3 linked regions of the Rhinolophus ferrumequinum genome follow. The protein of the gene in region 1 interacts with the protein of each later gene in a biochemical or structural test. Links are inferred from orthologs where the notes say so. Each region holds a gene or a part of one and is shown in the gene's direction. Other genes may lie near its edges. The genes, in order: RALBP1, SYNJ2BP and RALA.

Evidence for each region.
Region 2: the proteins of RALBP1 (region 1) and SYNJ2BP form a complex in vitro, tested with the Homo sapiens proteins (2 studies listed by BioGRID and IntAct, with this or other methods). The link is inferred for Rhinolophus ferrumequinum from reciprocal best matches to the Homo sapiens genes RALBP1 and SYNJ2BP.
Region 3: the proteins of RALBP1 (region 1) and RALA form a complex in vitro, tested with the Homo sapiens proteins (3 studies listed by BioGRID). The link is inferred for Rhinolophus ferrumequinum from reciprocal best matches to the Homo sapiens genes RALBP1 and RALA.

The regions. Positions count from the first base shown.
Region 1 is NC_046302.1:8,542,213-8,552,537, reverse strand, and holds the start of RALBP1 (ralA-binding protein 1), read left to right. Parts: upstream 1-5,464; 5' UTR 5,465-5,640; intron 5,641-10,325. UniProt on the Homo sapiens protein: Multifunctional protein that functions as a downstream effector of RALA and RALB. As a GTPase-activating protein/GAP can inactivate CDC42 and RAC1 by stimulating their GTPase activity.
Region 2 is NC_046289.1:26,977,102-26,987,524, forward strand, and holds the start of SYNJ2BP (synaptojanin-2-binding protein), read left to right. Parts: upstream 1-6,365; 5' UTR 6,366-6,487; coding exon 6,488-6,551; intron 6,552-10,423. UniProt on the Homo sapiens protein: Regulates endocytosis of activin type 2 receptor kinases through the Ral/RALBP1-dependent pathway and may be involved in suppression of activin-induced signal transduction.
Region 3 is NC_046303.1:53,322,756-53,332,783, forward strand, and holds the start of RALA (ras-related protein Ral-A), read left to right. Parts: upstream 1-5,255; 5' UTR 5,256-5,526; intron 5,527-5,652; exon of another isoform or gene 5,653-5,826; intron 5,827-10,028. UniProt on the Homo sapiens protein: Multifunctional GTPase involved in a variety of cellular processes including gene expression, cell migration, cell proliferation, oncogenic transformation and membrane trafficking.

The DNA.
Region 1 (10,325 bases):
CAGCGTACTGGGAGGATGGTGGACTCCTGTCTAAAGTACATCTCCTTGTTCCTAGAATGGTCAGAAGGTTTGATAGGTACACAAGAAGAAGTAGAACAAAGGAAAGGGGAGTTAGTCATGTGACTCTTCTGGTAGAACATCTCCTGGGGTCCGGTTTGTTTTGCGATGGTTATCTCGAACCCGGTCTTATGGGTGATTCATATATCATCTTACAGAGAATAACAGTCAAGAATTGTAGCTTGGTTGCCGGTGTCTGGAAGGCTGAGGGCTGACTCAGTCTATTGCAAGTTAGTGTTCTGCTGATTAGGTAGATTAACAAGGTATACATCTAGCCTTAGGAAAGCAGAGCAATTGAATCGGGCAGTGAGGGGGAGAAACAAAGAGAAAACAGCAGAATATCAGGGTGGATCAATCTGCAAACTAGCTAAGTCTAACTATGTGATTGATTTTCAGAGTTTTACCCTTACAGTATTTTTGTTTTCATTCGGTTTCAGGTATTTTCTAATTTTCTTGTGCTTTCTTTTTGGCCGATGGGTTATTTAATTTCCAAATACTTGGGGAATTTCTCAGATTTCTTTCTGTTGTTGATTTCCAATTTAATGCCATTGTGGAAGGAAAACATACTTTGCATGTTTTCAATCCTTTTAAAATTTATAGACTTGTTTTGTGGCCTACCATATGATCTATCCTGGACAATGTTTCATTTGAAAAGAATGTGCATTCTGCTGTTGTTAGATGGAGTTTTCTATTTATGTCACATACTTCAAGTTGGTTGATAGATTTTTAATATCCTTAGTGATTTTCTGTCTTATTCTATCACTTACTGAGAGAGGAATTTAAAACCTCCACCAATAACTGAATTGTCAATTTCTCCTTTCAATTCTCATGACTTTTGTTTTACATGAGTTAGAACTTCTTTCCTTTTAAAGGCTAAATAATATTCCACTCTATGTGTATACCACATTTTATGTACCCATCAGTGGACACCAGGGTTGCCTCTACCTGTTGATTATTGCAAATAATGCTACTACAAATGTGAATATGCAAATATCTCTTTGGGTCCCTGATTTCAATTACTTTGGGTACATACTCAGAAGTGGAATTGTTGGATCAAATAGTAATTCTGTATTTAATATTTTGAGGAAAAACAGTACTGTCTTTCACAGCAGATGCACCATTTTATACTCCCTCCAGCTGGCAAAGCCATGGGTTTTTTTTTTACCTCCCACCACAAATCTAGTCGGTCTTCTCTGGCAGCAAAGCTGCTTGTTTTCTTGGCTAGCGCTACCCACTGATAAAACTACAGTTCTGGACGACAGGGCAGTAAAAAAGCAGTCTCAGGCAGAAGGTCATAGACATCTATTGTTCCTCCTAGAATTTCTAGAAGTTTTTCAAGAACAGATGTTTCTCAAATTGTTGTCTATTATTAATAGTCTAGTGCCCTGAAATGGTTGTTTTAGACAATTTTGTCCAGTATTATACCTGTTTTGTGTGCAGAGGAATTGTTGACCATATCACATAGCCATAACTGAAAGTCTCTTCCAGTTTCTTTTTAAGTAGGAACTTGTATTAGTCATGACATTTAAATATCATATAAAAGAAATCCAACTGAATTAGTTAGAACTTTTAGAATTTTGAGTCACAGAAAACACCCAATACAAACTGGATTAAACAGTGCAGGACATTTATGGCTCACAATTCTACGTAGTGTATAGGTTAGTCTATAGGTCAAACAGGTGAGATTTGATAGTGCAGCTCTAATGATGCCACCAAACACAAGGTTCCTCTCCTTTCCAGCACTCATTTGACAGTATTGACTTCATCTTTAGTCTCTACAGGTGCCTCTCCCCTGAACCCTATCCCTTTAGGCTTTCCTCTTGAAGAAACAAAATAGTTGCTACATTTTCAGACTTCATATACTTACACCATACCAGAAGAGGAAGTGTGCTGCAGTTTACTAGAAGTCCCAGCTCAAGTCTCTGGGGGGCTCATTGGTTCTGATTGGGTTGTGTGATCATCTTTGTAACTCTCAGCCACTAGAGGGAATGGTTATGTTACATGACTTAAACGGGAGGAACAAATGCTCAGGAGGCAACCAACAAATATATTCTATAACTATACAAATTAGCCCTAAATAATAATAAATAAATGCATTGGCTCACCTAGCTAGGCTCACACACTCAAAGCACTTAAAGAAGAGTCATACAAAAATCATGGCCTCTGAAACTGAAACTATAGTCTTCATGCTGCCAGCTCTTTGTGTCTCTCCCTTTCCATCCCCCACCTCTGGGCCTCATCCCTTCCTACTTCAGACAGGCTTCTTAGTGTTGTGAAGAACATGGCCAGCTGCAGTTACTTCGGTAAAAAGCTTCTTCCCCTCTCATCCCTATCCGTCTAGCAATTTCAAGCAAGGGCTCAGAAATGCACCAACTTGAGTCAGTGTCTATCTTTTGGCCCGATCAGTGTTGCCCGAGGCAGAGTAACTATCATGATGACATGCCCGTCTGAGTAGTCAGAGGACATTGTTTTGTTGCCAAAAGGGCAATAAAAAAAACTTCAAGCAATCAGAAAACAGTGGTTACCACAGACCATCTTGGTATCCAATTGTGGGAGGCTCTTGAATGTCAAGCTCAGTGGCTGAACTTTATGAGGTAGGAAATGCAGAGTGCAACGGAGAGAGAGATCTACTGTCAGTTTTGTGAGAAGCTGATCTGGGAGGTATAGTGCAGGATGGCTTACAGAGGTCAATCTAAATACGCAATGAAGTTCTAAAGAGCATTGCATGTAGGAATGGAAGGGTTTGGGAAGGACCAACGATCCCAATCGTATTTCCCCTAATAAGTTGCTAAATTTTATAAAACAAGAACACTTCAAAAGACCTCTGATTTCCAGCCATGCATTAATAGAACAATTCTTCAAGCCTTTTGTGGGGACAGAGCCCCAAAAAGCAGTTTCCAGGCTCTCGGCCTCACATAGAAAGGTGCTGGCTCAGGTAGTAAATGGCCATCGACTGTGATCAAATGGCCATCAGCTGTGGCTAGTTGGCCGTCAGCTGTAACCAGTGAGCCATTGGGCACTAATATAACTGCCGTGGCTAGGCTAGCAAAAAATGGGGGCTAGCAAGATGGTGGCTGGGCTAGCAAGAGCGGATTGCAGAGAGGTGGATGCCGCCAGTGAGAATATAGTGGTATGACTCCCCTACCTATGGCTCTGTGGGTGTTCCTTTTTCTCACCATGTCCTGCATTCTTATGTGGGGAGCGAGACCAGAGACCCCGCAGGCCGCCCCGCATGACACATGGCGTAGTCGGCAGGATCCCCTGCACGACAAATGGCGCAGTGAGCAGGGTACGGTGCCGGCCAAAGCTCTCCGAAGGGCGGTGGAGCAGTTTGTGCATATGAACACTCAGTCTTAGGAAGACCAGTAGGAGCTGCTGCCGGGGAGAGCTCGACCCCCGTGGAGGGGTGGAAAGACGTGGACGGTTCCCCAACCAGCAGAGGCCGGAGAAAGCAAAGGTCCTTGCAGCCCTGTGGTCTGGGAAGTTCTTGCTGAGGCAGCCCAGACACGGGACTTGTCCCAGGAGGAAAGGCTTGCTGAGTCCTCCGTGGGAGATGTGGGTGAGGTCAAGGTCATCCCTCACCCCCAGGACAGCCCTGGCGAATGACTGTGGACTGTGGGGAATTGCCTTCCATCCCTAATTTAATGGACCACTTGACTGTTTGGGAACATACCACCATGTAGTGGTACTGGCGGATATTTGCTTTTGTGTCTTGACCGGCCGCCATCAAGAATATGTAAGCACCTTGACTGTGAGTCGCTGTTGTTCCACCATGGTACCAAGAGGCCCAGAGAGAGTGGCAATGCCCTGAGAGCCCTGGCTGAGTCCAGGAGGTCTGGCTGTGCCCAGAGAGAGTGGCAGTGCCCTGAGAGCCCTGGCTGAGTCGAAGTCTGGCTGTGTCCAGAGAGAGTGGCAGTGCCCTGAGAGCCCTGGCTGTGCCCAGGGAGACTAGTGGTACCCTAAGAAGTCCAGGAAGTCTGGCTGTGCCCAGAAGTACTGGTGGTACCCTGAGAAACCCTGGCTGTGCCCAGAGAGCCTGGCTGTGTCCAGGAAATAGCATTCACCTCCAGGCTCCTCGCACAGGGCCCCTCACGAAAGACGCTTGTCGCGTAGATTGTGAGGCGAGACCCCGTAGGGGTGGAGTGTGGGGATAGAGCCCCAAAAAGCAGTTTCCAGGCTCTCGGCCTCACATGGAAAGGTGCTGGCTCAGGTAGTAAATGGCCATCGACTGTGATCAAATGGCCATCAGCTGTGGCTAGTTGGCTGTCAGCTGTAACCAGTGAGCCATTGGGCACTAATATAACTGCCGTGGCTACACTAGTAAAAAATGGGGGCTAGCAAGAAGATGGTGGCTGAGCTAGCAAGAGTGGATTGCAGAGAGGCGGATGCCGCCAATGAGAATATAGTAGTATGACTCCCCTACCGATGGCTCCGTGGGTGTTCCTTTTTGGCCTCACCATGTCCTGCATTCTTATGTGGGGAGCGGGACCAGAGACCCCACAGGCCGCCCCGCACGACCCCTTTGTGCAGGATTTCCTCCAGAAACCCAGTTGTTTCCAGTCTTCCTCATGGCTCAGTTCTAGTTGCAAGCTAACCATGCTCTGGGCGGTTCTAATTCAGATGTTCCTTTGTAAATGTTGAACCAAAAAGGGCGATGGAAGACAGCAGTCCTGCTGTTACACAAGAACCAAGGACTATTCCTTTTTCAGCACCCACTTTGGGAATTCTGAAGAAGGTCCCGACAGTTTTATGTAAATCTCTCCTTAAAGACCCACAGCGCTTGCTTTAACAACCTCCCTCTCCCTCCAGTGCAGGAGTCCCCACCCCAAGCAAAAGATGCCCCACCCAGCCCAAGGCCGGGAAGATGTCCCACCCAGCCGCAGGCTGGGCCGGCCTCCTAGGCTGGTTTAACTGGTTAGGACAACAGAAGCCCGCTGGCACAAAAGGTCTGAACTTCAGTAGCTGAGGAACAGGCTTGCCACAGCATGGAGACGAAAGGTATTTCCTTTTTCAAGATCACCACAGGTAGCGCCCCCAAACCACCTACGCGGACAGTATTTGCTTGGGGTAGGTGTATGTCCCACCCAGTCCCCCAAGACCAGGAACTGCGCAGGCTCCCACAGAGCGCTAGCGCGGCGCGTTCTCTCGCGCTCCCTCAGTCTCCTCAGCGAGCTACTGGGCCGAAGGAGGCGCGGTTCTTCCTGGGTGTTGTAGTATACTTCCTCGACGAAGTGCCCTCCTGTAGGTTGGGCGCTTGGGTTTTCGAGAACTACGCCTCCCAGTGTGCCCCGCGCGACGGCACAGGGCGTTTACCCTCGTCGGCCTTAGCCGTCAACGCACAGAAGAGGACCCGGGAAGCCGGCTGCGGCGGGAGGAGGGAATGCGCTTGCGCGCTGGGCCGGCTCGTCTTGTTCTGTCCCAATCATTGTAAACAGGCGGAGGCTGGGGCGGGTTGGGAATGGGGCTCCCAAGGCCGGTCTGGGGCGCAGCGCAGGAGGCGGCTACGGTGGCTGCGGTGGCAGCGTGAACGCGAGGAGGAGGTGGCTGTGGCGGGGGCGGCCGGTCGCGCGGCGGCGGGCTCAGGTTGGTAGCGGTCAGCGGTGGCGTGCGGGGTCGCAGCCTTGCCAGTCGCGTGTCCGGAGAGCCCTCTCCGCAGCCGCGTCTGTATCTGGCAGCGTGCTGGGCTGGGCGCTAGCCGCACGCCGGGCTGGAGTTGGGGGTGGGGGGCGTGGCTGCCCCACTGCGGGTTCATAGCCCGCAGGCTTCTCTTCAGTTCTCGCCCCCTTCGCTGTGCGTTCCTCCCACTTGCCAGCCGGGCCTCCCTCATGGCAGCCGCATTTGTGATTTGGTGCTCCTGGGGTCGGGAGGAGGGGAGTCAGGAACAGAACCCCTCCCTCCTTGGGGTTCCAGGCCTCAGGGCAGTTCTGGGGCACACCGGAACGGAGGAGAGGACTGTCTTTTATATAACCGCTATTTTCTAATCGCATCCGGAATATTGACCCGTCTCTAGTGCTTGCCCAGTGGACTAGGAACACGCTTTTGATGTTTCCCACCGCTGGCATGGAAGCAGTGGGGCTCCTTTGGGTGCTGCGGTCCTTAGTTCAGGTTTCAGTGGGAATGGACGGACAGTCTGGGGTTCAGAATTCCTTTCACAGCGCACTTTCAAGTATGCTTGTACCAAAATGCTGTTATTGAGGTCAGCTTTTTTTTTTTTTTTTTAAATCGTTGTGTGAGTGAAACAGGTTTTGCAAAATATTTCACATCTCAGTCTTATCTAAAGTGATCATGCTGTTTCAAGTTTGGGGATTCATTACTACAGAGCCTCCCTCTTGAGCAAGCATCAGGATTCCCGTAGGGCCTAAAAGAGTTCTAGATAATAATTAAAATGTTAACTCGAGATAGTTTGAATGTGCGTGTCAAAGAAGTACAGTCGTTTGGACGTTGAGTTAACACACCATCTAGCCTCATTAGAAAAGTTATCACTGAATTTTTTGTTTAGTGGAGTGGTCATGTTCAAATGCTGGAGCACTTTGAGTAGCATTCCGTCATACTTGGCAGCTATTCACAAAATATTTAAGTGGTGATAAGCAACAGGCCCACTTTTGGTTTGGTGGTCACGGAGGCAGCACTTTTAAATGGGACTGTGAATGAGAAAGGTAACCTCACTTTCTGCCTTTGGAGTTATTTTGGTGATTTGATTATTACTTTCTGAGTATCTTGCTGAAGATGAGTAATTGCCATAAGCTGTATTGGCAGTAGTAGATGTAGGAAGGAAGTAGAGTGGTTCCCACTTTTCATAAGTGACCCATAAATTTATGTAGGGTAGGTTAGTTTAACAGTAACAGTTGAGAATTCTTTAAACAAAGTACCTTCAAGCAATGTGACATAACTTAAATGCTATCTCTTCAGAATAGTATTTCTCATTTTAGATCTGGGAGGGACCATTTCTCCCCTCATTTAGAAAAACAGAAGTGGTATAAAAAAAACACATATTAACTTTAATTTCTATTTGCACAGTTGTATGCTTGACCAGGAGAGGTTGGGTCCCGAACGTAACCCAAAAGTATGTTCTTTCTTTTCTGAAAGAAAAATTCCAAGAGAAACTTATGTTAGTTTACAAGGAGACAATAAAGAAAAATGCAGGTCATTTAGTGTAGAGGAATTACTTGTAGCAGGTACTGTGCCAGGAGATGAGGACTTACAAATGGATAAGGCAGTAGCCTGCCTTCAGGGTGGTAAGACTTTATCTCTTACTTGAAATGTCAACAAGTACAATATGTTTTTAAGATTGCTTTGATTGGAGAAAGTATGCGGATACAGTGGGTGTAGAAATGAGGAAGTGGTCAGTTTCTTAAGGAAGAGAAGGAGAGACTGAGGAAGGGGCAGTAGTAAGGAGACAGCGTGTAGAGGAGGGGATGAAAACAACAGGTATACATGCATAGAAAGGTGGCCATTTAGGTAGAAGGAACAGTGCCAGCAAAAGCACAGGAGTCTAAACTTACACAATGAGTTGTAGGATCCGCAGGTGTAACCAGCAAGAATGTAGGGTGGTGGCAAGACATGAAACTGGGGAGGTAGGCAGAGACCAAATTATGGATAGTCTTGTATACAGTAGAAGTAATTTCAGCTTTACCTTGTAAGCACATAGGAGTCATTGAGACTGGATAAACAAGAGAGGCCTAAGCCAGCCCCATCCATTTCCACTCCCTGATGTGTTAAGTATTATATCAGGTGCTTTATAGTCTATGTCCTTTAACTTAAGGAAGGCTTAGGCATGACTGAGGAAGAAAATGGGGAGAAAGCAACTTAAGGCAGAGGGAAAGTGGGACATAATTAGAGAGAGCATGGTACACTTTTAAGAATGGGAAGCTCTCCACAGCTATAGCGTTGAGTTAATTATAAATACTGGGATTATGGTAAGTAGCAGAAGATGAGGCTGCGCAGATAGATCCTTCAAATGTTGCATGCTATTCTAAGGATGGTAGACGTTTTTTCCTGTAGATAATAATAGAATATATGAATTTTAATCAGGAAAGAGTCATAATAAGGTTTATTTTAGAAAGGTCATTCTGCTATTGTATAGATTTCAGAAGAGATAGAGGAACAATAAGGCAGGATGCAGAAAGACTGCTTAGGAGTTTTTGTAATACTTGAGGTGACAGATAAGGGCCTAAACAAAGGTAGTGTCAGTGGAGATACAGAGGATTAGGTTAATAACACAAATATTTAGAAGGTAGAAGTCATAGGATTCAGTAACAATTGGATTTGGGGAGTGAGAAATAGTAGGGTAAAATGACTTGGATTTTCATTTGGGTGATTGAATAAACAATAGTAATGGAATAAACAATGAGATGGAATTCTGGAAGAGGTCCATATTTGGGGAGGAATAGTATTTTAGCTTTTGGATATACGGAGTGGAAGTTTTTCTGTAAAACATCCAGGTGGAAACATCTGCAGAGTTGTGTATGTGGGTTTGGAGTACAAGAGAGAGGTCTTGATAACAGTCATCAGGCTGTATATTATTGCAGGTGGTAGCTGAACCCTTTGATTTACGTGAACTAGGAAGAGTTTACTGATGGAGAGTAGTTCTGGAAATAGGACATGGAGAACAACATTGAGAGCCAGATAGAGGAAGAACTGGAAAAGGAAATTTCCTGTTTCGAGATGCAGAGAAATCATGACAAAAATGTAGAATCCCAAATGGGATTGTTTGAAAAGGAAGCTATATTTCATAACTGACTCCAGAAAAAAATAAAAATTAAAAAAAGGAAGCTATACTTCAAATGCTTTGAGAATTTGAGTAAAGCAAGGATTAAGAATATTGAATTTGATAACTGAGAAACTTTGTGGCATTCTACTTAATGCTAACAATGGAAAGAAGCTACCTTTCATTGAATTGAGGAGTAATTTGGTGGTCAGAGAAAGGAGAAAGCAAATGAAGATTACTTCAAGAATAAACAAGTCTTAGTTATAAAAGGAAGAGTAGGAGGTGTTAGCAGAGGGGATGAAGGGTTAAGGGAGGGATTTTTAACAGGCAAGATTGGAGTCTGCTTTCTTCTTAAAACACCTTTATTGAGATACAATTCATATAACATAAAGTTTACCCTTTTCAAGTGTACAGTTCAGTGGTTTTTAGTATATTCGGAGTTGAGCAGCCATCTCCACAATCAATTTTAGTACATTTCCATTACTCCAAAAGAGAAACTTCTTTCTCATTATCAGTCACTCACCATCCCCCCTGTTCTCACCCACTAACAACTACTAATTTACTTTCTGTCTCTGTGGAGTTACCTATTTTGAACATATAAATGGAATCACATACGTGATCATTTGTGACTGACTGACTTAGCATGTTTTCAAGATTCATTGATATTGTAGCATATATCAGGACTTAATTCCTTTTTATTGCTGAATAATATTCTGTTGTCTGATTATACCACATTTTATTTCCCCATCAGTTGAAGAACATTTAGTTGTTTCTACTTTTTGACTGTTAGGAATAATGTAAGTTTTGACTGTTAGGAAATGCAAGTTTTGGCTGTTAGGAAAATTTGCAAGTTTTTGTGTGGATATATGTTTTCATTGCCCTTGGATATATATCTAGGCGTGGAATTGCTGGATCATATGGTAACTCTTATGTTTAATGTTTTGAGGAACTATCAGACTGTTTCCCAAATGAGCTGAACCATTTCACTATTCTGTGTAAGGATTGTAATTTCGGTGTAAGGACTGTAATTTCTCCACATCCTCACCAACACTTGTTATTTTCTGTTTTGGGTTTTTTTTAACTTTTAATTTTTTTTTTATTTTAGCTATCCTAATGGGTGAGTTGGTATCTCATTGTGGGTTTGATTTGCATTTGCTGGTGGCCAGCGCTAAACATCCTTCAACATCATGAGGATCAGCTTTTCCCATTTCTTCAAAAAAAAGCTGTTGAAATTTTGATAGGGTTTATATTGAATCTATAGATCACTTTGAGTTACAGGAATACTTTGCTGTCTTAGCAATATTGAGTCTTACATCCATTAAAAAGGGTGTTTTCCTGATATCGACGTCACTTCCGCTCCAGAAATTGGGTGGCGAGTGAAGACAGTATGGAGGCTGGGAGGTGAGAAAAGCTGACAGAACTGAAGTCTTGCAAAAGCGCGTTCCCTTCTTTCTGAAGAGACCTGTTAATGTGTTCTCTGACCTCTGCAGTGCGCTTTATGGGGCAGAGGGAAAGGTCATACTGACTGCGTTAGGAGTTGAAGCCAAGAAAACCTTCTTGA
Region 2 (10,423 bases), on another chromosome or scaffold:
GAATAAGATGGTAGTAGCAGAGATGGTCAGATACAGGCTATGTATTTTTTTTGTCTGTAGAGACAATTGGACTTTCTGATGGGTTGTATGTGGGGTATGAGGGAAAGAGTATGATCAAGAATGGTTCTGGATGTTTTTCTGTCTCACTTATTTCACTTAGCATGATAATCTCAAAAATCGAGAACCATATAACTTAACTCATATGTGGATAGAAAACTGAAAGCAACAAACAAAAACTCATAGACACAGACAACAGCTTAGTGGTTATCAGAGGGGAAGGGAGGAAGTGGGTAGTAGATGAGGGTAAAGGGGGTCAAATATATAGTGATGGAAGGAGAACTCACTCTGGATGGTGAACACACAATGCAGTATATAGATGATGTGTTACAGAATTGTACACTTGAAACCTATATAATTTTACTAACCAATGTCAACCCAATAAATATAAGTTAAAAAAAGCATGGTTCTTTAGATTTTTATTTTAACTGGGTAAATCAAGTGACCCAAGGAAGGGGAAAGACTAAAGGAGATATAGGTTTGGAGACATGGGGATTAAGAATCTATTTTTATGATAATTTAAGAAAATTTTGTCCCATTGCTAGCCAACTTTTGAGATAACAGGTAGACAGCTGGGTTATACGAGACTGATGCTAAGTGAAGAGGTGAGGGCTGGCATATTAATGGCATTTATAGCCATGGGAATAAATTAAATTTCTTGTGAAGAGGGTGTGTGTGTGTGTGTGTGTGTGTGTACCAAGAGTGCCAAAAAAAGTATACACATTTTAAGAACTGTTATCTATGCTCAAGCAGTAGTTTGCCATCATCAGAAATGTCTGGAGGTTGATGGTAACCAATTTGAGCACCTCTTGTAATTGCAGAAGTCAAACGTGACTTGTATTCATCTTTTGTTATCGGTATATATTGAGTATTATAATTAATACAGTTTTTTCCTTTCTTAAAATGTGTATACATTTTTTTTGGCACCGTGTGTGTGTGTGTGTGTGTGTGTGTGTGTGTGTTCAAAAGAATGGAGAGTACCAATTAAAAAGGCTGCTATAAGGTGAGATCATTGTAAATACCTTGCTGGTAATTGCTGTTATCAATAGTTAAGGTCTGGGGGCCGGCCCGGTGGCTCGGGTGGTTGGAGCTCCGTGCTCCTAACTCCGAAGGCTGCCGGTTCGATTCCCACATGGGCCGGTGGGCTCTCGGCCACAAGGTTGCCGGTTCAACTCAAGTCCCGCAAGGGATGGTGGGCGCCGCACCCTGCAACTGGGATTGAGCACGGCATCTTGAGCTGCGCTGCCTCCCGGATGGCTCAGTTGGTTGGAGCGCGTCCTCTCAACCACAAGGTTGCCGGTTCCACTCCCGGAGGGAGTGGTGGGCAACAGCGACTGAACCTGGAGCTGAGCTGCGCCCTCCGCAACTAAGACTGAAAGGACAACAACTTGACTTGAAAAAAGTCCTGGAAGTGCACACTGTTCCCCAATAAAGTCCTGTTCCCCCCCCAATAAAATCTTTAAAAAAAAAAATAGTTAAGGTCTGCAGTGCAATTTTCCCCAAGAACTTGGAAGTTAAAGAAATAATACTGCTATCAGGGTTAAACTGTAAAACCAACTTGTAATAGGCTGGAGCAGATATTCAGTACCATCTTAAAGATATTGAGCAGTTCTAAAGTCTATAAGACTTCACTGTAATCTGTTTTATGGGATAAATTTTGTCCCCACAAAATTCATATGTTAAAGCTCTAACCTTAACAATATAACCATATTTGGAGATACGGTCGTTTTTTAAAAAAAAGTATATTTAATTTTTTTGACAATATTATTTTATATTAATTTCAGTTGTACAGCATAGTGGTTAGACATTTGTATAATTTTGTAATTTAAGAAGTGATCCTCCTGTCTAGCACTCAGCTGACACCATACATAGTTATTACCATATTATTGACTATATTCCCTATGTTTCACTTTACATCCACATGACTGTTTTATAACTACGAATTTGTACTTCTTAATCCCTTCATCTTTTTCACCCTGCCCCCGCAAACCTCCTCCCATCTATCACCCTGATAAATCTGGTACCTATTTGATACCATACATAGTTATTACAATATTATTAACTATATTCCTTATGCTATATCCTACATACCCATGATTACTTTATAACAACAAATTTGTACTGCTTAATCCCTTCCCCTTTTTCAAAGCCCCCCCCCCCCCTTCAACCCTCCTCTCATCTGGCAACCATCAAAATGTTCTCTGTATCTATGAATTTGTTTCTGTTTTGTTTGTTTGTTTATTTTGGTCTTTAGATTCCATATATAAACAAAATCACATTGCATCTGTCTTTCTCTGTCTGACACTCCACTCAGCACAGTACCCTCCATGTCCATCCATGCTGCCGCAGATGGCAAGAACCCATTCCCTTCCATGGTCTAGCGATATTCCATTGTATATATGTACCACCTCCTCTTTACTATTCTTCCATTCACAGACACCCAGGCTGCCTCCACATCTTGGCCATTGTAAACAATGCTGCAATGAAAATATGGATGCACAGGTCCCTTTGAAGTAGCGTTTTGGGTTTCTTCGGAAAAATATTCAGAAGTGGAATTATGGGTCCTTCTTTGTCTCATTATAGTCTTTGTTTTAAAGTCTGTTTTGTCTGGTGTAAGTATTGCTAACCCAGCTATTTTTTTTTTCCCATTTTCATTAAATAATTTTTTCTATCCCTTTACTTTAAGTCTGTGTGTGACTTTCTATCTGAAGTCTCTTGTAGGCAGCATACAAGGGGTTTTGTTTTCTTATCCATTCAGCCACCCTATGTTTTTTTATTAGAGCATTTAATCCATTTACATTGAAAGTAATTGTTGATAGATATGTAGTTGTTGCCATTTTATTATTACTAGTTTTGATTTTTTTTTCCATCTTAAAGAAGTTCCTCTAATAGTCCTTGTAATACTGGTTCAGTGAACTCCTTTAGCTTTTTCTTGTCTGGAAAGCTCTTTATCTGTCCTTCAATTTTAAATGATAGCCTCGCTGGTAGAATAATCTTGGTTGAAGGTCCTTGCTTTTCATCACTTTGAATATTTTGTGCCAATCCTTTCTGGCCTGCTGGCGATAAGGTCTTTAAAGAAGTAAATAAGTTAAAATGAGGTCATTAGGATGAGCCCTAAATCAATACAACTGGTATCTTTATAAGAATAGGAAATCTGGACACAGATCTGTACACACACAGAAGATCGTGTAAACACAGAGGAAAAAGACAGACATCTACATGCCAAGAAGGGAAGCCTGAGAAGAAACCAATACTGCTAATACCTTGATCTTGGACTTCTAGTCTCCAGAACTGTGGGAAAATAAATTTTTATTGTTACGTCACTAAGTGTGTGGTATTTGTTATGGTAGCTCTAACAAACGAATACAATCTGATTAAATGTAATAATACAAAAAATGTGTCAATCACAAAGGGGTTTAATCACCTCATTTAAAAAAATATGCAAGAGTTTGAAAACAAAGAGGTCAGTTATAGGGCAGCAAATTGGAACTAATGCCTATCAAAGGAGAGGTGGTTAAGTCCTAAATACAAACACATCCATGAGTTAGTCATCAAGAGGCTGATAGAATAAAATATTGAAGTAGGAGGGGGTAGAAGCAGACAGGAGATTGGAAAGACAAAGTGAATACATGATATGAAATGTGCAAAAATAGAGCAAGTTATGGGTAAAGTACCTCAAGGTATGAGGCAAAGTTTCCACTAATCTTGTAAATAGGCTGAAGTCACCAAGTTTCATAATTTTTACATATCTCAAGGTCATAAAGCCTTAAATAGAAAGGCTAGTTCAGACAGAAAGTGTCGCTTTGTGTGTCAGAGACTACCAATGGCCTCCCAATATCCGTTCTCATCTTTTAATTTATAATAGCAACCCTGATTTTAATTTTTTTTTTTTAGTTGGCACATTTCCATTCCACTAAAATACATCCTAGGCCTCCCTTATAGTTACATTTAACCATAAGACCAGGCTTCTGGTTAATGAGATATAAGAAGTGCATGAAACTTCCAAGAGGTCTCCATTAAAGTATGGAGTGGACCTTTCTTTGCCCTTTCTTCATTACTTTCTTGGAATGTGAAAATGATGGTTGAAGTTCCCAAACCCATCTTAACCATCTTGGACCATGAAGCAAAGGCCACACTCCAGGGATGGGACTGGGTGGAGACAGAAAGGAAGGAACTTGGACCACGATGACCGAGCAGCCTCAATATCAGGCCTGAACCATCTATTTCCAGAGTTCTTTAATATGAGAGAAACAAACTTCCATCTTAGCATATTGCATATAAAATTAAGTGTATATTTCTGCATACACTTCCTCCACAATCTGTTTTCCTCCACAGTCTGTTTCTAGCCTATTTTTTCAGTGTCATCACCTACCATCCCATTCTGCTTTTTCGCTCATGAACTCTATTTGCTATTCCTTCACTACTCCCATCATTATCCTGATTCCATAATTTTTCTCAATTGTTTTCTCTGAGTGGAAATCCCTATGTCCTGTTTTCTGCTTCTCTAAATATTAAAGTTTCCTCATTCTTAAAAAAACTATACTTACATTAAGATATAAAGGCAATTTACACACCTAATCTGTCACTCCACTTACAGCCAGCATTTCCTGAACTTATTTGGTATCTCTTTTCTTTTTACTGTCCTTTGTGTTTCTGCTGAAGCTGTGTGCCCAGATGAAAAGGGCACTCTCTTCCCAGGTACAGAGTAGTGATTTCCCCCTTAGTAGTCTATAAAAAACTTTTTTCCTCCAAATTTCTTCATTGATGACTTTCTTGATTTTCTTTTCTTATTTCTATTTGATCTCTTCTCTCTTGGTATTCCAATGTCCCTTAGTTATACCTTAGTTTTGTCACTTATCATACTCTGCTTTTCATTATGATCCTGTTATTCACTCATTCAACCAACATATGTTGAGGACGGTTGGGTGTGACAGTAGTAGGAATATGAGTTGGAAGTTGAGATGTAATTTTTAAAATTCCATCTCATTTAATCCTTTCAACAACCTTTTAAAAATCTGTATTATTCCCTTTTTTCAGATGGGGGAACACAGGAGATATTATGTTCCCTGCTCAAAGCCTGACAACTGGAAGAAGATGGAACCAAAACTTGAGATCAGGTCTTCTGACATTACCTCCTGTGTTCTTTCCACTATTCCATATTAACTTCTCTCAGGATTAGCAAATAAGAGGCCTTCCTGAGGAATCTGCCTCTTTCTTGTTTTGTTGCTAAACACAGTAGCTTCTGTTTTGATTATTTAATCTGAATTTGAATTGCATTAATTGGAACTGCACTTTTTGGTCCTCCAAGGTCCCCACTACTTCCTGTGGTCTGTCCAGGTTTCTTCCCACATTTAGATCACCTTCCTGGCCCTTCAAGCTTGTAAATTTTTGACCCTTGACAGTTCCTTAAAGCCCTGTTTTGGAATTCTACCTCAAAAGTCAGGAAGCTGGGTTGAAGTCACAGCTAGTTCATCCACTAGTCTTAAAAAAAAAAAAAAAGGTTGACTTTTCCCTGTTACCAAAATGAAGAGACCTCTCCTCCTTTTCCTTTAAATGATTTGCTTGAGCAAATCTGTAATTATAAATCCTTCCACTGTCCCATTGATATGTCTATAAATATTTTTTTAAAGCTAAACAAGCCTCTAGTCAGGGACAACTCAGGAAAGTTTTTCTCAAAGTCCTGGGAGCCAACTCTTTGAAATGTAACTATCAGGGAAGATATTGTCCCACCTAACTTTACTATAGGAGTTACCCTAGGTGCCATGCTCCAAGCTTTATGTACCTGCTTGTCGTAGAGATAGTTTTATTTTTTTTCTTTGGATAATGTCAAGTAACAGATTGTAACCCCAAGGGCGACTTACCAAAGAATGTATATAGCGAATGGTGTTGTTAACTTCTTACATGAGAATATGCACGTAACAGATTGTTCAGCTTGGCTACATAAAAGGGTGAGAGTTCTGTCTTTGTAATCCCATTAGCGGATTTCCTGAGACACCCAAACCAGGCTGGTTTAATGCTTACTGAGTAATAGAGATTTTTTTCTTCTTTTTTTCTTTTCTTCATTTGTGGAGATTTTCTGAGATGGCAGGAGAGTTTATTTTTAATTTTTCCTCGACAATATCAATTTATTTATGTCTCTTACTTTTACTATCCTTCCTCCCCCCACCCCCAAAGCAAATTAAGAGGGTATCTTGCTCCTCGCTCACTTCTCAGTTCGCTTTGAGGACTGGGTGAGGTAACGCAACGCGTTCCGCGCCAGAACCACGACTCCCAGCATTCCTGACGCTCCCAGCGCTGTCGGCTTCCTCTTCCGGTCCGAGGGCAGCTAAAATCGAAAGTGGTGTGTTTTGGGCGCCGCGCCGAGATTGATTCACCTTCACCTGTGCGAGCCCTAGTTGACCCAGGTGGGAAGCCAGACAGGCAGTAAAACATGAACGGAAGAGTGGATTATTTGGTCACTGAGGAAGAGATTAATCTTACCAGAGGACCCTCAGGTATGTGCGGAACAGGTCATCTTTGGTAGTAGGTACTTGAGGTGTAATTGCAGAGCAAACACCTCTTTTGCTGAGCCAGATTCTTTTGGCTTCGGAGCAGGCAGGCCCCAAGCTAGAGGTTTCCTGCAACGCTTTTGAGCACGTAGAAGAATATATTGGTATCCATCATTAGCCAGACATGGATCTGAGGAATCCACCTCATTTTTGAGTCGGATACCACATGTATTTATGGTCATGACGGGTTTCCTTTTTGCTAAATGGTACCAGAAAATCCTGGGGGAAAGCCTGCTTTTTAGCCAGCATACCGTGAACACCACACCCCTCCTTCCATTGCCTGCTTTATACCTGTTCCTATGAGAGACTGTTTAGTAAAAATGGGAGCATAAATGGTGTGGACTGTAAATACTCAGCCGTTTTCTTGGTGCTTGTATCCCTCGCTCCCCTCTTGTTTGTGGGAAAATGTCAACTAGAATATTAAAGCACGAAGAGGCCTCAGTGATCTATTAGAGCAGTTCCCAAACCTGGTTTTGCCTCAAAATTAGCCAGGGTTTTTGGGTTTGCTTAAAAAAGCACAACAAAACAAAAAACCCCAGCAACTTAATTCCTAGATCCCATCTCTAGGAATTTGGACTCAATGCAGGTGTTTTATGGTTTGGGTTTTTTTTTCTTTTTCTTTTTTTAAACAAGCGCATATGCTCTGGCCTGCCAACAGTTTTCTGTTTCTTGACATGGATAGTGGTTACCTGATTCTGATACGGCCAAATCCTCACTTACCCCTACAGTCCTCTTACCCCTGATTACTCTTCACTCACTCAACATTACTACATGTTAACATCTTAACATTACTACATGCTGCCTGCCTAGAATTTTGTTGCCTTTCCTTTACAGCTCTCTAGGGTATGGATTCAGAGCTTTAGCTTTGAGATTATGTAGGTCCAAATCTGGTACCTAATCTCCTACTAGTTCTTTGACATTTATTCTTTGACCAGTTTTACTGATGTAATTCTTAGTTTTTGGTCTGTAAAATGTGCACGATAGTACAATGCGCATCATAGAGTTAGGAGAACAAAATGAGTTAATCTGTGTAAAACATGCAGAACATTGCCTGACACTTGGTAAGCACTACGTAATTGCTACTTTTGTTATTATTTTTAATAGATGAATGGTTAGATAAACACAGTAAATCCCACTAAATACTGTTATTCCAAGAGTCTCCAATAAGTCATCAAGTACCATGAGCTCTATCTCTGAAATGTTTCTGTAAACCTTCCACTCCTTTCTGTTCCCATCACCCGTACCTGGAACAGTCCATCATCTTTTCTCATATCAAAGATTATTCTCCATAAAATATGGCTTTCAGAATCATCCATGCCTTCTTTCTTGTTATAAAACATTGGAAACTGACTTTATTTATAAGAATATAATTCATTGCTAATCTGCATGGTTTAGTGTCATGCTCCATACGAGCTCCTAAACTTTTGTCAAAAGCTCTTATTCCCGTCTCTTAGATTCATTTTTTTCCCTATTTTATGTAAATTTCTCCTCTCACTTAATTTTTATTGACTTTACAGGCTAATATGGCAAATTATTGTTAAACCAAAATCTGTTTTTCTGTGGTTTTCATCAATTGGTGCTTGTTTTCCTAGGGTCCATTAAGACAATGGGAATACATTTTCTGATTGCCCTGCAAATATATTTAATGGCATCTAGCTGTTCTTCTGTTTTGTCTCTTCCTTCTATAGCCTAAATATGCCTAGTTATTACATTAGCTCTCTTGTGATGTGGTTTGAGGTTTGACTCCTAGGAATTTAATGTACTTTGAGAGAGTCCTTTTGCTGTGGTATCCAGCAGTATTTCCAGGATCTCTTAACTAGAGCAGAGCAGACTCTGATATTATTTGCATGTTCTAGTCACTAAATATTTTTAAAGTTCAGTAGTATCACTTCACCTTTTTTAGTATTTACCTAACAGTGTTGCTTAATGTTCAGCTTACCGTTTGCTAAAATTTCTGATCCTCTTGATCTTGCAGACCTAAAGTTCCTAGTGTTAGCATTTTTCTGAACCACTGGAGTTAGAACAAACCTCAAGGGACTAATTAAGAAAAATAATTATACCTAGCTAATATATTTCACCCAGAAGCAGTTTAATTTCTGGATTGTATGTGCATTTATTCAAAATGAATGAATGGATTTATTCACTGGGTCACTGCTTCAATTTTCCCAATCATGTTCATGTCTTACTCACATAAGTTGATAAACTTGAGTTTAGGAGAGTAGAGCCACAAATTTTGTATTGAACTTGGATTAAAACAGTCATTTGAAGTTTGGTTGGTTCAGTTAACAGGAAAAGATATTAAGTTTCTGTTTATCACCTCACAGCTATTTACCAGGTATGTGGTACTCCTAAGAAGTCTCACAGTCTAATTCAGCTTTTCTTCATTGTGTTATCATGGAGATACACAGAGAAGAAGTCAGTTATCACCACTAGAAACTTCCAGTAATTTTGATAGTCTCATAGAGATCTTTATTTTAATAGAACTATGAAAATCCTCTTGTTCTCAGTATGCATTTCTGTTTGTAGACAGTATTGTCACTGTTTGTCTTTGTACAACTTCCTATGCAGGGACCTGATAGTTTAATCAGGTAACTGCAAGAATGTATATACCTTTGTTTTTTGTGCCAGTGTTGTCAGGGGCAAGAGTGTTGGATATTTCCAGTGTTTGGGCCCATTTTGCAAGGCAAATGAACTATTCTTTCTGATCTTGCTTATTGCAAGGAAAATAATGAAATCTTAGGAAAATTGGGACAATGAAGTGAGTATCTGGGGAGGCAAAAAGAAGCTTGGCATATGCTTTGAATTCTCTCCTGTACCAACTTCCTCAACTGAACAAGGAGAGACTTAGGCCATATGACTTTGGAGGTTTGGTTTTTTTTAACTTCCAAGAATTCAGGATCCTTTGGCACATTTTACATGTTATTTTATGATTCTTGCCATTTTGGTTTAACAGTGGGTGCTCAAATGCCTTCAAGGGTTTGAAGCATATCTTTTATGCTTTATGGAACACTATTTATCTTTTCTTTTTATAGGAGTCCAGCTTGATTATAGTCTCTAAGCCTCCCACTTTTTCTTTTGTCAAATTGAATTCTTAATGTTAGAAAGATTCAGTTACTCTTAAGAAATATGACAAGAATCTAATCTAGCTTTTTTTTCACTGTAGCTGGTAGAGATTGTCCATAAAGACAACGCTACTGTACATTGGGTATTAGAATTAGGATTCCTTGTTCCTGAGGCATCAGTGGATTTTAGCAAGGAGCCTGATATACCAACTTTAAAAAGGAAAGAAAATCTATTTTTCTACTCTATTTAAAGGAGTTTCAGAGAATAAATGGGTTGGTATAATGTTTTAATAATGAATAATTAAGCAAGTATTATCTCTCTGGCACTGTGTTAGTTACGTTATATATGTATTAACTCATTTAATTTTCACAGCAACCCTGAGTGGTAAGTGATTAATCCACATTATTGGAGGAAATCGTCTCTTAGAGAGGTTAAGGATTTGCCAAAGTTCTAAAGCCAGTAAGTTTCAAGAGGCAGGAATTTAACCCAGATTTATTGATTCTACTATTCCATATGCCTCCTCCCATTATAGTAGCCGTATCTAAGAAGTTGACTGACAACCTTTCTGCTGACTTTTATTTTGTTACATTATACCTTATTCCAGGAAGGATTTGGGGCATTTTAAATGACTCACATAATCTGCAGTGGAAAGTTTTTATAGTTTGCTGTTGATAGAGCTGAGGGCATATCAAGGTGAAAACCTAAAAACAAGAAACCCTATTAAGTCCAAGCATTTAAGCCTCTACAGACCTGTC
Region 3 (10,028 bases), on another chromosome or scaffold:
CCTAAATTGTCACACCTCCACTCTTTCTAGATTCTCATTAGAGTGGGATGACAAAAGGTTCATCTAGAATATCTGCATCCAAAAGAAACATTAAGAATGGTATACTGGTGAGTGTCATCTATGGCACCTACTTAAGCCTATCCCTCCAAGGCCTGATGCCAATGAAAATGAAGCAGGAAACTGAGGCAATGGCCTCACTAATTTGTTACAAAACACACAAAAACAAATGCTCTTTACCTGGATGCGCAGAAAAGACGCACACACACTTAAAAGTTTTAGAGGTGATTATATGGGTTTTTTTCCCTTAAATTATTTAATCATTACAATATATTTATTTTCAGCCCTAAAGTATTTTAGATACTTATGCCTGATACCATGAAGGATACAAAGATGAATAAGACTAAGTGCCTGTTTTCAAGGCAGTGAAGATACAGTCATAAACATAAGAAGTTTAAAAATTTTAAGTTTGGCTGAATTTTAGAGATTCTGCAGGCAATTAATCATATGCATATTATAAACCATACTATACATACTCTCGCATAACTGTCATATCAAGCTGGTAACCCTGGTATAAACTACTAGAAGGAACAGTGCATTTGAGTCTCATGATAAGAATTTGAGTTTGACTCTGCTACTTCGTTGTCATGCAGCTGCCTGGCTGTCTGTCCCCTCGTGCCTACCCCTAAAAAAAAAGAAGAGTCTGTGAGACTATTCCTCTCAGGGACATTGCTTCACCTTTATGCCATCTCCTTGTTTGGCCCCAAAGGATGGCTGGCTAGCCAATGACGGGTAAGATTCCTCAAGAAAGGAACAACCTAAGATAGGCACAGTCGTGTGGGGACCACCAGGAGAATTCATGGGGTTGATAGAGGTGGGTATAGACCCCCACCTACCTTCCCCCATCTAAGGAGAGCTTCTGCCTCTGTGGCTTCCCAGGGTATTCCTTCCCACAACCTGCTTGAGAAGTGATTCTAGATGTGATAACATCAGTTCTCCATCTCAGTAGGTTTTCAACATAAAGGTTTTGTCCCCTGGGGAGGTACAAACAATAATTATTTATACATCATGGGACTTTCGGCAGGCAAGGGTGATTGGTTTGAACCAGTTTTCTGGTATGATGTATGAGACTCGCAGACCCTAGAAAAAACAATGCTACTTCCTTGTATGTACATCAATAAAAGCCACAAGGTGGCCGGTTTGGGGCTCTCAGTCCTTTGAGGCTGTGAGATCTTTGGCCCATTTCAAAACTTTCTTGATTTTTGTTTCTTTTTTAACCCTTTGCCACACCTTCTCATTCTCTCACTGCCCATGTTGCAGCTGGACGCTCGACACTACTTGACAATTTGTAGCAAGTCTTTAAGCTCTGTCTCTATTTTTTTTTTTTGAACAATGCTTATCTCACAAAGTAGTGAAAACAAAATGTAATAATACAAATATTAAGGTGTTATAAACAATGCTCATAATTCTAATAATAAAACGTATTTTGAGTTGTTTTTCCTCAATAGTGACAAATTGCTATTAACCAACTACTTTCTTGTCTGGCCTCTAACACACCTCAGAAGTTTTGTTGTTGTTACTACATGTATAGTTAATATACATTCATAATATTTTTATAAATTGATATATGATAAGTACACATATATATACATATTATATAACTACAAATATATTTAAATGTGTTCATATATGCATACACTTTTCAAGAGAAATTCAGAAGCCACCAATCTAATGGGTAAAATTTCATCTATTTTAGGGACAGACAGTGGACAAAAAGGGTCCTACTGAAAGTAACTTCCCCAGGCAATCTGATCAAATCCCTAACTGTGCAGGTCATGGTGGCTAGTCACACCCAGGCATATAACTTCTTTATCTTTGCTCTAAGCAGATGCTGTCCATTATTTTCGTCCACCTAGGTTAATGCACCTTTGAAATAAATGTAACCACCTCAAGAGAGAACATAACCTTAATTCTCCTGTAATCCAGTCCCACCTGCTCTCTCCCACTTTCGTGCAATCTTCCTTACATTCCCTCAATTTCAAATGCATAAAAGAAACTGCAAAGTTGTCAAATCTCTGGAGCATTTGAGATCTTGCTTCCCAATAATTGTCAATTTGGCTCAAATAAAATTTTATAAAATCTTTCTACAGTTTCGGACATTTCTTACATCAACATGACATTGGACAAAACCTCACGGGACTATGTTTTTGTATTTCTGGTTCAACAATGATGGAAATGACAGGAGCTTCACAGGAATGTTCACCTTCATGATGATTCAGACAAACATGTTAACTGCATATAAATTCTTATTATTCTGTAGGGACATGAGTAACACTTTTAACAGAAATTTTCAGTTCAATAACAGCAGCAAATTGTTAAACCTGAAACATGATTCTAACAAAAGCATACCTACCATATACTTCTCCCAAAAGTATTTATTATCTATAAGTAGCAGTGAACTTAAGAATTGTAGTAGTTATTAAAACTTCTCTCCTTTTACATTTTACTCAATCTATCTTTTAAAATACAGGTTTGATCATAGATAAAAATTAAACTTACAAATCAAAAAGAAATCTTAACACAGACTCTTTCATGTTTCTGTTTCAACACCTTTGAGTTGCCCAGGCAGCAAATCTAGGAATGCTCATGAGTTCTACTGATATTAGTGCTAATTATTAACATGCATTTACAATTATGCCCTTCCATCCAAGTACTTCGAAGAGCTTATAAAGCATTAATTTCTTATTATAGTATCTCTGAGAGGCAGGCTGGTACAAAGTTATTATCTCTATCTGAGTCAAAGAAACTAGGTATTAGAGAGGGTAAGTGACTTTGCTATTGTCATACAATGAACAACGAACAAAAAAGGGACTCAAGATCATTGTTCTCATGTCCTGTTCAGTATATTAGTTCAGTATATTATCCATTATATGGTTAATATACCTAAATGTATTTCTATTTTGGGAAAATTGAAAATAATGTATTTGAATAATCTGAAAACTAAAGATATGTTGAGTTCCTCATTTTTCGTGTTCAAAATGCTACAGAATAAAAACTAAGTCTTTGACACTGTAGCTATTATTTATAGGGCTTTTGCTATTTGTGGTTTTCTGAAGTGTCTGCTCAAAATATCCATTCTATTTCTGAATGCTTTAAGACAGATTCGCATGGCTGTGAACAACCAAGACGCAGCTGATAAATGAATTTAAAGTTGTCTTGCATTGTGTTCCCATTGCTTATTTTTGAAGTCATCCTCCTTCCAGTTCTCCATTCAGCAGGTATTTGCAGGACCTACTCACTCCTTCTCAATCCATCTGTGGCCAGCATGTCCACTGTCAATGATTAAATTTTAAAAACCTTTTTATTAGAATTACATTTCATTTTATGAATTTATGATGCTATACTATTTACCACTGTCATATTCAATTCTCTGTAAGCCTAACCTTTATGATCCTTAGACCATTAGCATTTGAATATTAGCCGATGGAGGGGCATATATCACAACATGTGGGTGTTTTTAATGTAATATTTAAGCAATTTTCCTAAGAAAAGGTAGGGAGAAAGGAGAAGTGGTTTTGAAACTGCTCAGTGAAGTGAGACTGCAGTCTGCCTGGATGTGGTAATACAAACCTGGAGTGTTTCTAAATTCAGCCTAGATCCTCTCCAGAACTCTGGATCCATATAACAACTGCCATTAGATAGAACCATTGGTACTTCAAATTCACCAGGTCCAAAATGGCACTCATTTTCTGCACCCCCTCACCCATCCCATTCCAATCTTTCCTTATCTTGTTTGGTAAAATCTATCGTAATCCTCCTCAAAAACCAAAACATGGCATCATTGCCACTCCCCTTCTCTTATCCAGCACCTGACCCCGGCCGTCAATTATCAAAATCAGTTGATTTGGCCTCCTGACTATTTTAGGAATCCATCTTTGGATGCTGGCTGCCACTCACATAATGGTCCTTTTATCCTTTTTCATTTCTGCAATTGCTTGTCTATAAGCTCTCTGCTTGCCGTGCTCCTCCCAGCTAACCTGCCCTCCACCTACAGTTTAAATTGTACAACTATCCTGGGACATTACTCCACTTTAGTCATTGCATCGCCACGGTTGGAAAGATGGTTCTCATGATCTGGCTCCTGACTGCTTCTCCAGCCTCATCTTTTTCAGCAACTCAGGTTTGAACTTTTAAGTTCTGTAATCACCACTCAGATTTCTCAACACACATTATTTGTCCCTGTGCTGCATGGCCTGTCAGGATATGGATTTGCCATCCCATCCCCTATTTTTTGTGCTGGGAAACCCCTATTTATCTTTAAAATCGAACGCAGTTAGTATCATCAATTCTTTCCTCTGTATACGTTATATACCATATTCGCAATCATAATTATATGTTTCCACGTCTGTCTACCCACTAGACTGGACATTCCTTGAATGGGTTGTGCAAAGCACGGGAGTTGGTACCAAATTTGGGGGTGGAGGGAGATGAGAGAATGTCAAGACATAAGGGTCTGTAGCTGCTAACGAATGTTAGGCAAACCACCTATTTCAAATCTGTGAAAGAATTTAAATAAAGCAACCGATTTTGTGGAACTACTTCCAAGTTAAGCTACCAAATCACAGGGTGGGACACCAGAATAAGCTCAACGCCACCCCAGAGCCGCAGTGCCCTAGGGGGATTGAGACCCTCAGAAAAGGCTCGACAACCCGCGGAGGCGAGGTCTCCAGGAACCAGCAGTTAGACGGGAGGCCAGGGGCAGCCACCGAGACCCTCCAGCCAGGGCAGGCGACTGACCAATCCGGTGACCAGCCACATCGCTGGCTCCACTCCAGGAAATCCCGGCCTCAAGACGGAGCGGCCTCCATACTAGGACGCCGCGGGAGAAGGGGCTGTCCCCTAGAAGCAAGATGGCGGCCTTCGGTCTCCCCTTTCTTCCCCCAAGAACTCCCTTTAATCTCCTAGAAGAGAGACAAGGACGTCGCGGCACCGACGCCGAGATCCGGGGACCTCCACGAGGCGGCGGCCACTCCCGGGCCCCTTAGGAGGTGACTTCACTTTGTCGGGCGGAGGCAGCTGTGGTTCAGGCCGCCCGAAAGGCAACGCAACCCGCCCTCAACACGCAGAGGGTGGACACTGGGTAGCCCACGCCCTTCCAGCCATTGTTCTCCAGCCCGAGCCCCCCATACCCTACTCTCTGCCCGAGGACAGGAAGTCCCTCCCCCTGGGGCTCCGCCCCTCTCCCCAGCGTCCCGGAAGTGATCTGCGGCGGCTGCTGCAGAGCCTTGGGGAGGAGGGTGGAACTCCCTCGAGCCGGGCGCCCGAAGTCCTCCTCCTCCTCCTCCTCCTCCTCCTCCTCTTCTTCCTCCTCCTCCTGCCGCCCAGGCTCCGCGCCGCCGCCCGTCGGACTCCTCCTTCTGCCGCTCCCGGCGCGGAGCCTCCCGGAAAACGGCCGAGCACTCTCCGGCCGAGGTCAGCTCAGCCGCGGCTTCCGGAGCCCTGGAGGCGGTGGACTGGTTTGCGGTGCAGGTGAGCGATGCCCGCGCGGGCCGCTGCGGGAGCGGCGGGGGCCACCGAAGGGGCGGCGGCGGGGGTGTGTCCTGGCGGCGGCGGGCGGAGGCCCTTGCTTAGGGCCGGCCGCCGAGATTGCACATCCCGTATTCTGCCCGAAACGAGCTGCAGGACGAGCTGGAATTCCGGGCGCCGTGTTCGCCGCTGTGCGGGCGAGTGCACCCCGGAGGACGGGAGGCTGCGGCGAGGTCCCCGCGCCGGGTACCTGCTCCGAGTTGGCCTGGTTGGAAGGTCACGCCGCACCTCTGGCCCTAGCACGTAGGTCCGGGTCTGGGCGGTGCCCGCGACCTGGGGGACCCGCCGCCACCGTGCTTCACTCCGCCCCTCTCCCCTCGTCCCTTTCTTTCCACTTCTTGCCTGTACTAGAGCAGTCGCTTTTTAAGCATCCCTGCCAAGGTTTTGTGCCAGTTTTGAAGGAATGGTTTTTTCAGAATGAAGTCATTAGATTTTTCGCACTGAACCGAATGGCTGGTCCTGGGCTCTTGCACGGGTTTGGCCCATATTCGCGTAACCCAGCCTTTAAAACGGGGAAAATATAGATGTTTGGAGTGAGGGGGTGTTTCCTCCGTGGTTCCTTCCTGAAGGTGTTCCCGTGGAAGACGTGGTTTGTACGCGTTAGCCTGGGTATATGTGGTAAGTGGGCGGGGGTGACCACGCAGTGTTGTTTCAAGGTTTAGAGAGAAGTAAGGAGTTAACTGGCCTTTGCCCGGAAACCAGAATGTCCAGACTTGTGTGAGCTCATCCAAGTGTCATTGAGGTTGTGTGAGAACTCCAGTGCCACGCCCTACTGGTGTGTCAAGCTGAAAAGCACCTAATTTACAAATTGTGTTTGATGGTGGTGGTGGTAGGGGAAACCTTTATAAAACAGGGCGTAAGTTAATTCTGGTCTTGAAAGTAAATTGCAACTTTAATCACGTTCCCAAAAAAATTGGATAACAAATTTCATTAGTAAACTCACTGTAGAAGGCATTTCTTTTAGCTTATGTTTACTAATACATTTAAATGTATATTGGTTTATGTTTTTCTGTGTATTAATCCATTATTATTATATAATGACTGTGGCTCTAAAAACATTATTTTTAGACGTTGAATTTCTTCAGGGCAGAAGCCATGTCTTATTCATCTCTGTGTTTCCATGATACCTGGCTTAGAACACAGAAGTTATTCATTCTTTCTTCACTGAATGAATGAATGTGTAGGTGATCTCACAGTTGCCTTCCTGGAGTCATTTATTTTGGGTTAGGTGTTTTGTTTGTTTGTTTTTGTTCCAGTTTGTTGATACATACAGACTTTGTGTTCTTTAGCACGGCCAAAGAACAATTCGAGAAGAATCCTTTGCTGTTCTCTCAAAATACTGTCCTCACCTGAAAGATTAAAATTATCTGTAGGGTACTGTGATTGGGGATCATAATAACTTGTATTCCATTGTTCAATGTTTACCACTTGAGCATGTTTGTCCAAGGTTATCAGGAGATTTTCTGGTGATAGTAGATTTAAGTTTGGAGTTGATAACCATACCCTATCTTAATCAAAAAGAGGAAATTGGGAGTTACCGCTGTTTGGGAAATGTGGTGCATCACAGAATTGCTTATGGGGCTCATTCTCCCCCTGGATACATGAAATCCTCTGACGTCCTGATACGCCCTTGGCATGATTTACCCACCAACAGCACTTTCACATTTCTTTTCAGAGATTCAGGTGCTGTTCTCTGGTGTGTCTGCTGAGTATGCAGTCATCTGTATCATCTATTTTGAAGCAGTTCTTCATACAACACTGTCTTCGCAGGGCTTTCAGGGGAAAAAGGGCTCATTATACGGAATGATCTTGTCTGCTATTGTGTGGGAGATGGTTTTTGACTGTAGATGGTTGGGTTATTTTCACTTAATGGAGGTCCAAATAAAAAAGTGCAGCGCTTATATCTTCTTTCCTTTCCAAATGTCAGGTGGTGGTCCTGCACTGGTTTTGCAAGCTCAGCTTCTACAAAGCGTAAATAAGTGTACCAGTATCACTTCTTGTATATGTGTGTGTTAGTGTATATATACTTGGAACCTTTACGTAGATGGGTGGCAAAGACAGTCACTTTAAAAATACTTTAATAAGAGGCTGCTAATGAGGAAAAAGATTATCATTTAGAAGAAGTAGGGAGACAGTGCATGGTTTCCATTGTTTTATAAAATGTTTTCATTCTTAGACACTAAGGAGAGGGAAGCCTGCAATTTATCTCATTGACATTACCATCAACCCTCCTGATAGTAACAGTTAACGACTTCTGAGGGCATTGGTATTGCATTTAATCCTAAAAGGCTGAGGAAAACGAGATTTTGATTGATCTGAGCTTGAGGAAAGTGAAGATACTGATCTCAGCACTGTTGATTATCAAGTGGGGCCTGAGGTTACTAGTGACCCTGGCCAGGTGGCCTCAGGCAGTAGCCAGTCTTCTGTTTATCTCCAGTGTGCCTACAAATACAGCGTTATCACCTTCTATGGCTGCTGTGATTAAAAAAAAAAAAAAAAAAAAAAAGGTTGTGCATTGTTCCTGTAAGTGTCCTGGAAAAGCAGAGTATTAGGAACTCATCTCTGGTATTTGATGACTGCTTTTTGCCTCTGACGTATTTGAGATTTGAGAGAACTATTGGAAACCTAGTTGTTCCTGAAACCATGTTGTTTTTCCTTTCTTTCACTAAAGGAGGCAGTGGAGGGAGAGGTTGTAGGGAAGTGGAAGCATGGTAAAAGAAGCAAAGATGTACTGGGTTTGTTTTTACTATTTCAGACCATGTATCATTTTCTCTTTGAATTTAATATGGAGTCTTAAAGAGGGCAGAACTCTTGTAAGGGTCTAATTGCTATTCAGTGCTAGAAGAATTCTCTGCACTATTCAAGTCTGTGCAGTTTTGTTTTGTTTTGTTTTTTTTAATGCATTTTTTTTTAATTGGGGTAGGGGAACAGGACTTTATTGGGGAACAGTGTATACTTCCAGGCCTTTTTTCCCAAGTCAAGTTGTTGTCCTTTCAGTCTTAGTTGTGGAGGGTGCAGCCCAGCTCCAGGTCCAGTTGCCGTTGCTAGTTGCAGGGGGCACAGCCCACCATCCCTTGCGGGAGTTGAAGCAGCAACTTTGTGGTTGAGAGGAGGCGCTCCAACCAACTGAGCCATCTGGGAGCTCAGCGGCAGCTCAGCTCAAGGTGCTGTGTTCAATCTTAGTTGCAGGGGGCGCTGCCCACCATCCCTTGCAGGAGTTGAGGAGTCGAACTGGCGACCTTGTGGTTGAGAGCCCACTGGCCCATGTGGGAATCGAACCGGCAGCCTTCCGAGTTAGGAGCACGGAGCTCTAACCGCCTGAGCCACCGGGCCGGCCCTTTAATGCATTTTTAAATGGGCTTAATTTGAAGGATGTGTTCATCTCTTAGTTTTAAAAAAGTATATAGCTACGTAAAAAACATAGCTTTAAAAAAACGCAGCTCATTATCTAGCCTTCATTAGTAACAGTTATTCTTTGTTTTTCTCTTTAGTTCTAAGACACCTTTCTTATTATTTTACTCGTAAGGATTTGGTTATAATATAGAAGAAATTAAGGTAAAGCTCTGAGTTTGTAAAAGATTTGTGAACAAATTTTAGAAAATTACGCCTGAACGTGAAGACTTCATTCCTCAATGTTAAGAAGGTAGTCTGTACAAGCCAAAACAAGCTTCCGTAAATTATTATGATGCTATTCTTAAACAGCTAGTCCTGGATGAGATGCAGTAGACATAATGCTTGATACAGTAATCTCTTTGAAGTGTACGATCCAATTTCATTGCTGAATTCACTTATGGAAACTAAATATCAGGGTTTGACAGTGTCGTCTTGAAGAATAAAACAGCAGGATTGTGAAATGACTTCTACTCCCAGATGCATTGGTTGGGGCACAGATCCCTGGTTTTCACAAAAATCATAATTCTGGTCGTCTCAGCCACAGGATCTCTTCTGCTTCCTCAAGCAGTTGAGTAGCTAGCAGAGTAACCTAACCCATTGAAATTGGAGGTTGCTACACCACTGAGTGGTCGCAAGTGCTTCAGTTCAGCTGCACTGTCTAGGTCTGCTCTGGATTGCTGCAGCAGCTGGTTAACCTCTGGTTGGCTCTCCTCCTCCCATCTTTCTCCACACTTGGTTAGAGCAGGCGTGATCCCCCCCTACTTAAAACCCTTTTGCAGCTCCTTCTTGCTCATTAATAACAACCAAATTCCTTTTACTCTTAATCTCATAGACAGAATCTTCAAGATCTTCTCCTTCCTTAACCCAGTAGCCTCATGTCTTTTCTTCCAGTATATTCCATTCCAGCAATACCAAGCTTCTGGAATGCTAGCATTTCCTCAGTCCCCCGTTTCGTCTTCCTGGACTTTTAGCCACTCCTTTGCCCAGTCTAGTATGCTCCTACTGGTCCTTCAGAACTCAGCTTAGGTTATACCTCTCCAAAAATTGTATCT